Linked DNA regions of Macaca fascicularis. The protein of the gene in region 2 purifies or fractionates together with the protein of the main gene of each other region. This does not show direct contact. Links are inferred from orthologs where the notes say so. Each region holds a gene or a part of one and is shown on either strand. Other genes may lie near its edges. The genes, in order: PSME3 and TSPYL6.

What was found.
Region 1: the proteins of TSPYL6 (region 2) and PSME3 purify together in Homo sapiens (affinity purification with mass spectrometry; 3 studies listed by BioGRID and IntAct, counting the BioPlex papers as one, with this or other methods). This does not show direct contact. The link is inferred for Macaca fascicularis from reciprocal best matches to the Homo sapiens genes TSPYL6 and PSME3.

Annotation. Positions count from the first base shown.
Region 1 is NC_088390.1:63,893,583-63,897,201, reverse strand, and holds part of PSME3 (proteasome activator complex subunit 3), read right to left. Parts: intron 3,116-3,619; coding exon 3,067-3,115; intron 2,677-3,066; coding exon 2,564-2,676; intron 2,034-2,563; coding exon 1,965-2,033; intron 1,820-1,964; coding exon 1,752-1,819; intron 1,653-1,751; coding exon 1,598-1,652; intron 1,471-1,597; coding exon 1,384-1,470; intron 1-1,383. UniProt on the Homo sapiens protein: Subunit of the 11S REG-gamma (also called PA28-gamma) proteasome regulator, a doughnut-shaped homoheptamer which associates with the proteasome. 11S REG-gamma activates the trypsin-like catalytic subunit of the proteasome but inhibits the chymotrypsin-like and postglutamyl-preferring (PGPH) subunits.
Region 2 is NC_088387.1:67,591,504-67,595,943, reverse strand, and holds the start of TSPYL6 (testis-specific Y-encoded-like protein 6), read right to left. Parts: upstream 2,877-4,440; 5' UTR 2,687-2,876; coding exon 1,454-2,686; 3' UTR 1-1,453.

The DNA.
Region 1 (3,619 bases), on a different chromosome or scaffold from region 2:
AGTAGAGATGGGGTTTCACCATGTTGGCCAGGCTGGTCTCAAACTCCTGACCTCATGTGATCTACCTGCCTCAGCCTCCCACAGTGCTGGCATTACAGGTGTGATCCACCACACCCGGCCTCTTCAGTCCCATTTTATTTTTTTAATTTTAATTTTTATTTGAGGCTGAGTTTCGTTCTTATTGCCCAGGCTGGAGTCCAGAGGCACAATCTCGGCTCACTGCAACCTCCGCCTCCCGGGTTCAAGCAATTCTCCTGCCTCAGCATCCCAAGTAGCTAGGATTACAGGCATGCGCCAATTTTTTTTTGTATTTTTAGTAAAGACAGGGTTTTTCCATGTTGGTCAGGCTGGTCTCGAACTCCTGACCTGAAGTGATATGTCCGCCTCGGCCTCCCAAAGTGCTGATATTACAGGCGTGAGCCACCACACCAGGCCTATTTTTATTTTTATTTTTTTTGAGACGGAGTTTCACTCTTGTTGCCCAGGCTGGAGTGCAATGGCACGCTCTTGGCTCACCGTAAACTCCACTTCCTGGGTTCAAGTGATTCTCCTGCCTCAGCCTCCCAAGTAGCTGGGATTACAGCCATGTGCCACCACGCCCAGCTAATTTTGTATTTTTAGTAGAGACAAGGTTTCACCATGTTGGTCAGGCTGGTCTCAAACTCCTGACCTCAGGTGATCCACCTGGCTTGGCCTCCTGAAGTGCTGGGATTACAGACATGAGCGACTGCACCCAGCCCAGTCCCATTTTATTTTTTTTTTTTATTTTATTTTTTTTTTTGAGACGGAGTCTCACGCTGTTGCCCAGGCTGGAGTGCAGTGGCGTGATCTCGGCTCACTGCAAGCTCCGCCTCCCGGGTTCCCGCCATTCTCCTGCCTCAGCCTCCTGAGTAGCTGGGACTACAGGCGCCCGCCACCGCGCCCGGCTAATTTTTTGTATTTTTAGTAGAGATGGGGTTTCACTGTGGTCTCGATCTCCTGACCTTGTGATCCGCCCGCCTCGGCCTCCCAAAGTGCTGGGATTACAGGCTTGAGCCACCGCGCCCGGCCCCAGTCCCATTTTAAAGAAGAAATTGAAGTTTGAGCTTAAACAATTTGCTCGAGATCACACAATACAGGTAGAGCCTGGTTGCAAACCTAAGTCTGTCTGACTCTAACACCGATATCTTAACCATACTGTACGGCACACCCCTCCTCTCAGGCAGAAAGAAGAGAGAAACCCCGCTAGAGGACTTCATGGTTCTCAACACTCAGTTGATGAACAGAATTTAGTCTACTAATTTTACCTCAGACCTTCATCTCAGCCCTTCAGAGAATTTCAAGAATACTCTCGACAGAACTAAGTGAAGCCACAGCAACTATACAAGGACTGAGGTTACTCACATATTGATTCCTCAGCTCTGATATGATGAGCCGAAGGCTGATATATTCTTTCTCATCAATCTCTGTCACGGTGCGGCGATAGTCCTCCTGCAAGGAGGGTAGAGGAAAAAGCTAGTCCCCAAGGCCCAACTGTTCCCAGATAGCTCCTTCCCAGTAACAGTCACTGTTCACTATCCTGCCACCTCCACCCTCAGGCCACAAACCACTTACTTACCACATGGGGATATTTAGCTATTTTAGAAACCAATTTGGCTCTTGTAATATAATATCTGAAAGGAGAGAGAAGAGGAGGAAGCTGCAGGAGACCCTTGATGGTGCCCACCACCTCATCAGCCCCCAATGCCTCGGCCAAGCCCAAGCAGCCCTACCTAGAAATCTGGTCCAGATAAGATGCAGCTTCACTCTCAACAGTTCTTAGCTCTGCAACTGTTTCCTCCTAAAACAAACAAACAACAGGTGCATCAAAAGCCACTTCCATGACATCCACAGCAGCCCCAAGGAGAAAGGAAAAAAAGCTAACGCAGGGGAGATGAGAGTATCTCCCAAGCCGCTCTTCCCAGTTCGTAATTCAAGTACATTACCTGAATGGACACCCCAAAGTTGTTTCCATCTTCTATCCTGGGAATCAGGAGCTGTACCCACATTTTGACCTGGAGGTCAAAACATATATGAGGACCTTTGCCTGAAGGCTGAAGCCATTAAGTACACAATTCAGACGGCTGGGGCCAGATGCCAGGAACACAGAAGCCAAAATACCTAGTCTGGCCAGGCACAGTGGCTCACACCGGTAATCCCAGCAATTTGGGAGCCTGAAGCGAGTGGATCACCTGAGGTCAGGAGTTCGAGACCAGCCTGGCTAGCCATGGCCAAAATGGTGAAACCCCATCTCTACTAAAAACACAACAAGTAGCCGGGTGTGTTAGCAGGCACCTGTAAACCCAGCTACTCAGGAGGCTGAGGCAGGAGAATCGCTTGAACCCAGGAGGCAGAGGTTGCAGTGAGCCGAGATGGCGCCACTGCACTCCAACCTGGGTGACGGAGCAAGACCCCATCTCAAAAAAAAAAAAAACCACAAAAAAATCTAGTCTGCCAATTCCCATACCACCCGTACATCCACTGTTTCTTGCACTTCACGGGGGGTACTTGGGGCCGGCCCATAGGTCACTAGCCTGTGCCTCACCGTGTTACATTTCTCAATCAACAGCCGGATCTCAGGTTTCACTTTCTCAATAATGTCCACCAGCTGCTGGTTGCTTTTCAGCATCCCATTGGGCATCACAAACACCTTGGTTCCTGGCAGAGATATGAAGGTCAAATGATCAGGGAAGAGGGAAGGACACAGCATCCCGTCTCTCTCTCATTTTTCCTATACCTATCAGATGCTATGACCTCTGCCTTTGTCACAATCCTACCAAGACACCACTATTAGAATCAACGAGAATGTGTGGAACAAAAGAACAACAGATGAGCATCTGAAACATGACAAAAGTCTTAAACCCTCTGTTTATTGGAAAACCAGGTTAAGAGCACTAAATAACAAGCATGTTTGGAGGAGCTGGGAATGCTACCTCTGGGAAGTGAGATCAGATCTTGCCTCCTGGTCGGGAGAACTAGATCCACCTGCTTCTCAGGGTTGCAAGTCAGGGGTGGGGTGAGGAGAGGTAAGGTAAGGGTGCCTCTTACCTTGGAAGGCTTCTTCACACTCATCCAACCTTCGCTTCTTATAAGTGGGCTAAGGATACAAAGAGGCAGGGATGAGCCTTCTTTTGACACCCACATGTCCATCACAAGATACCCTCCAAGCAAGTTTAATCCCTTCCTCAGCCTCATAGTTTGTGTTATTAATTTCTGCACAATTTCCTAAGTACACATAAAGCTTTAAGAAAAGGTTCTTGGGGCTGGGCGCGGTGGCTCAAGCCTGTAATCCCAGCACTTTGGGAGGCCGAGATGGGTGGATCACGAGGTCAGGAGATCGAGACCATCCTGGCTAACACGGTGAAACCCCGTCTCTACTACAAAATACAAAAAACTATCCGGGTGAGGTGGCGGGCGCCTGTAGTCTCAGCTACCCGGGAGGCTGAGGCAGGAGAATGGCGTAAACCCAGGAGGCGGAGCTTGCAGTGAGCTGAGATCCGGCTACTGCGCTCCAGCCTGGGCGACAGAGCGAGACTGTCTCAAAAAAACAAACAAACAAAAAAAAAAGGTTCTTGGGAGGCGAGGCGCGGTGGCTCATGCC
Region 2 (4,440 bases):
TATTAATCTTCCACATAAATAAGGCCACATGCAAACAAGAAAGAGAACACCCAAAATTACAGTGTTTCTTCAAAGAACCCTTCTCTAGGCAACATATTTAACACTCCAACCATCTTCTATTCTTCTATGTGAATACTAAAAAAAAAAAAGTACTTCTCTTCCCATCATAACTAGTCAACCCAGTGTTAATTCTAGGCCTGATTTTCCCCTGAATCATTTCTGCCTTTTTGTTCAGTTTTCCCTGCTTAGAGCACCCATCACAATCTCCTTCATTCTTCTATCCACTCTGAACTAGAAATCACCTTTCATTCCATCCAGCTCTGTATTCCTTTAAACCCTCTAGGAATTGCTAAAGAGGGATGAGGGGCTGAAAAGAAAGGAGAATGGGGAATAAGAGGTCTGGCAGTCTCTTTTACAGAACAGCCTGCTTCTGGACATGACAAAGAAACTAAAAAGCCTGCTTCTGCAGATGTTTCTGAACTACTACTTTTTTTTTTAAAGGAAGACAGAAGAGATTTATGAGAGATGAGAGAAAAGAAAGTGTACACTCACTCTGGCACTTCATTAGGTTCAGGAAGGGAGGAAAATAAAAGTACCTAGATTTTCAATGAATCCACTGGTTGTGGCTGAGAAAGCTTGGTACTTGTCAAGAACACCAACATATTAACCTTGCCATGAGGATAGGGTCTGACATGTCCCCTCAACCATTTGTCTGACAGTAGGGTTTCTGAATGACGAGGGTGGTGGTGGCAAAGAATTGAGAGGTCTTTTGGAAGAGGAAGGAGTCTTTTGTGTGCTGACAGGAAACCTGTGTCCACCACCAGTGTTGTGGAGATCCCTGTTGATTAGAAACCACAGAGTGGAGCTGGCAATGGTCTGGGATATGTTCACTCAGCAGGGAGCTGCCCAAGGTGGTGGGCATAGCCAGTAGCAGGCAGCAATAGGTGACCAGAGTCTCAGGAAAAGTAATGGAGTCCCATAATTCACACAGACCAAGTTGCCCCCTGCTGTTCTCCCTTGACTTCATTAATGCCCAGCAATTGTCCACAGTCCTTGTGCCTGTACTGTCAGATGCAGAGCAGGGTGAGCCGAATAGGTTCTTAGACACAACTAGAAATCCAAATAGGAGCCAGACCAGAGGTCTTGGGAACAAACAGAGTCCAAACAAAGGTAAAGACAGTATAATCTACAGCATCATTCGCTTCGCTTAGAAGGATGTAACCCATCGGCTGGGAGCATGTGATGTTAATGCAGAATAGCAAGACAACCAGGTGAAAGGGAAGCAGCATAGCCACCAAGGTATCAATCTTCAGGTTGAGAGAACGGAAAGTTTAAACAGAGGGTAGAGGAAAGTCAGAACAAAAAAAAGGGCATACCTAATGCTGTTGCCCAACCACAGGTCCAGCTCGTGGTGGCAGGGGACCTTCTGCAGGAGTAGTTCCAAAGGCAAAGGTTAACCAGACTGGAATCCAAAGGGCCTGGGGATCTCCACTGGCTCCCTCATCGGGCGACGTCTAGCTCTATGGGCGTCTTCATCCAACAGGTAGTACTGCAGTGGATTTGGCCAGAGGTCCTCTTTAATAATCTGAGCAATCCTGTCGGACTCTGGAAGGCTGTGGTCTGAAAACCAGGCGAAGAAGCTGCAGATGACATGTCGGTTCCTATGAATGAAGGACTGGGGTCCATGGCCCTGGCGCCACATGATTAGAGTGGAAAAAGACACCACTTGGCCGAAGGATCTGACCTCATACACCTTGACGATGAGCTTGTTTCTGAAGTAAGGGTTTCTTCGAAAGAAGAACTTAAACTTGCAGCCTGTCCTAGGGTGTCTGAGCTCCTTCACTTCCAAATTGGTTAAGTAGCTTAACATCTCGGCATCTTGGCCTCTAATCATGGCAGACAGCTGTGGGTGGTGGCGGAAAGCAGTGACCCAGAAGCCCGGGATATTGCGAATGATGTCATTCCTCTGCTCTAGGTAGTATTCATGCATCTGCCCAAACCTGCGCTCCACCTGCAGGAGGGCCCTGTCAGCCTCGGCATTCACGGAGTCCAGTTCCAGCTGGATGGACTCCAGGGGGTTCAGGTGGAGACCCACGTTCAGGGGCCCGGGCCGGGGCCCAGGCCCTGCATCCTTATTTACCTCATCTGTTGCTCTGTTTCCTTCCGCCATGTCCATTTCCTCGCCTCCTAGCTTCTCATCGACTGGGGCTGAGAGCATGGCACACTCCTCAGGCTTCACGTCCTCGGCCTTCCCCTCTGCAATCACTTCAGACTCCGACCTCCCTGCACCACAGGTTTCTACAGCCTTCTCCCCATCTAGGCCGGGCGTCTCTTCACCCGGAAAGCCATTTTTGAGGCTGCCGTCAGTTGTCAGCGAGATAGAAGCTGCTTCTAGGCCCTCCGCGGGTGGTAGAGTCACTTCCTGTCCAGCTTTGATGGCTCCACGACTGCGACTCCCATCGACCAAGATGTGGAAAGTACGGCCACTATCTGCGGGATCCTGGGGTGCGACCCCCTCCTCTGGAAGCTGGGGCGGTGGGAGCACGACTGGCTCCAAGCGGCCCTCAAACACATCTGCCATTACCTGTGTCGCCTTGCTCTTCTCTCGGGACCTCTGGCCCTGGTGCGGGTCTTCCGGGGCACGGTCGAGAGTAGCAGGCCTGTGAGGACTCTCCAGGAGGCTCATGTTGGTAGCGGCCAGGGCGGCAGTCGGTAGAGGCCAGGCCACAACGGTGGGTCCCGTCAACGTTCCTCACACAAAATGGCGAGTAAACACCTCGACTATTTGCACCGCCCACTCTTCAGTCTCGCGACACCCACCCCTCAGTCTCGCGAGTCTGTGGTGGTGTCCTGTGCATCGTTATTTTAGCCATTGTGCTGGATGAGTAGTGGTATCACATGGCGGTTTTAATTTGCATTTAGCCAAAGCCTAATCAACTGAGAACCTTCTCATATGTTTTTTGGCCATTAGGATATTCTCTCTTGTGCAGTATCTGAGGCTTCTCCCTATTTCTCTGTTGGGCAGGTGTTCTTTTTCATATTGATTTGTAGGAAGCCTTTGTACATGCTAGATACTAGTCATTCTTCAAGTATAGATATTACAAATATTTCCTCCCACTCTGTGGATTACTTTTTCTGTTTTTTGAGGTTTTTTTGTTTTTTTGAGACGGGCTCTGTTGCCCAGGCTGGAGTGCAGTGGCGCCATCTCAGCTCACTGAAGCTGCTGACTCCCGAATTCAAGCGCTTCTCCTGCCTCAGCCTCCCAAGTAGCTGGGACTACAGATGCCTGTCACCATGCCCAGCCTTTTCTTTCTTTTTTTTTTTTTAGTAGAGATGTGGTTTTGTCATGTTGGCCAGGCTGTTCTTGAACTCCTAGCCTCAGGTGATCCGCCCACCTTGGCCTCCCAAAGTGCTGGCATTACAGGCGTGAGCCACTGCGCCTGGCCTACTTTTTCATCATCTTAATGGTACCTTTTGAGGAACAAAAGTTTTTCATCTTAATATGTGTCAATTTGTCATTTCCCCCTCTACCTTAGTGTTTTTCTGCTCTGTTTAAGAAATCTTATCTCTTGCCTGGGCACAGTGCCTCACACCTGTAATTCCAGCACTTTGAGAGGCAGAGGTGGGAAGATCACTTGAGCCCAGGAGTTGGAGACCAGCCAGGGCAACATAGGAAGACCCCATCTCTATTTCAAAAAAGAATTTAAAAATGAAGAACCTTATCTCACCAAGATTGTTCAAATTTGTATCTGCCATCCAGCTGGAATTCATTTTTATGAGTAGGGTCACAATTTGTTTTTTTCCATATGAATATCTAATTGACCCAGCCTTGTTTATTGAAAAGACCATTCTTTCCACATTCATAGGTTTTTAAATGTTTCCATCAAAAGTGACATAAATCATTGGCCAGAGCTAGTCAGTTGACCTTGTCTAACTTTAATAGGACAGGGAGGTGTAACCTTCTCCTGAGCCTGGAAGGAGGAAACTGGAAATATTGGCAACTGCTGTATCACTCATCATGAAAAATAATTTGAGTAATAAACAAAAGACCAATAGAGTTAGGCCAAAGGACATAGATAAAAGGTAATAATAAACAGAAATTTATGTAAGACAATACAGAGTATCAACCAAAGATTAATAATAAAAAGAGAAACAGTATTTGGAAAGGAAAACATAGTCACATTGATTATTTAAAGAAATATGACAGGATGTTAGACAGCTTTATGCCAATACATTTTCAAACTTAGATGAAATATATGGCTTCATAGAAATGTATAACTTATCAACAAGGACTGAAATGCAATAGAAAATCTAAATAGACCTAGAGACAGTAAATAAATGGAATCAGTAGCTTAAAAAAATCTTTCCACAAAAGTAGCGTGAGGTTCAAATGATTTTGAGGCAACTACTACCAAACATTCAAGGTACACATAATCCATT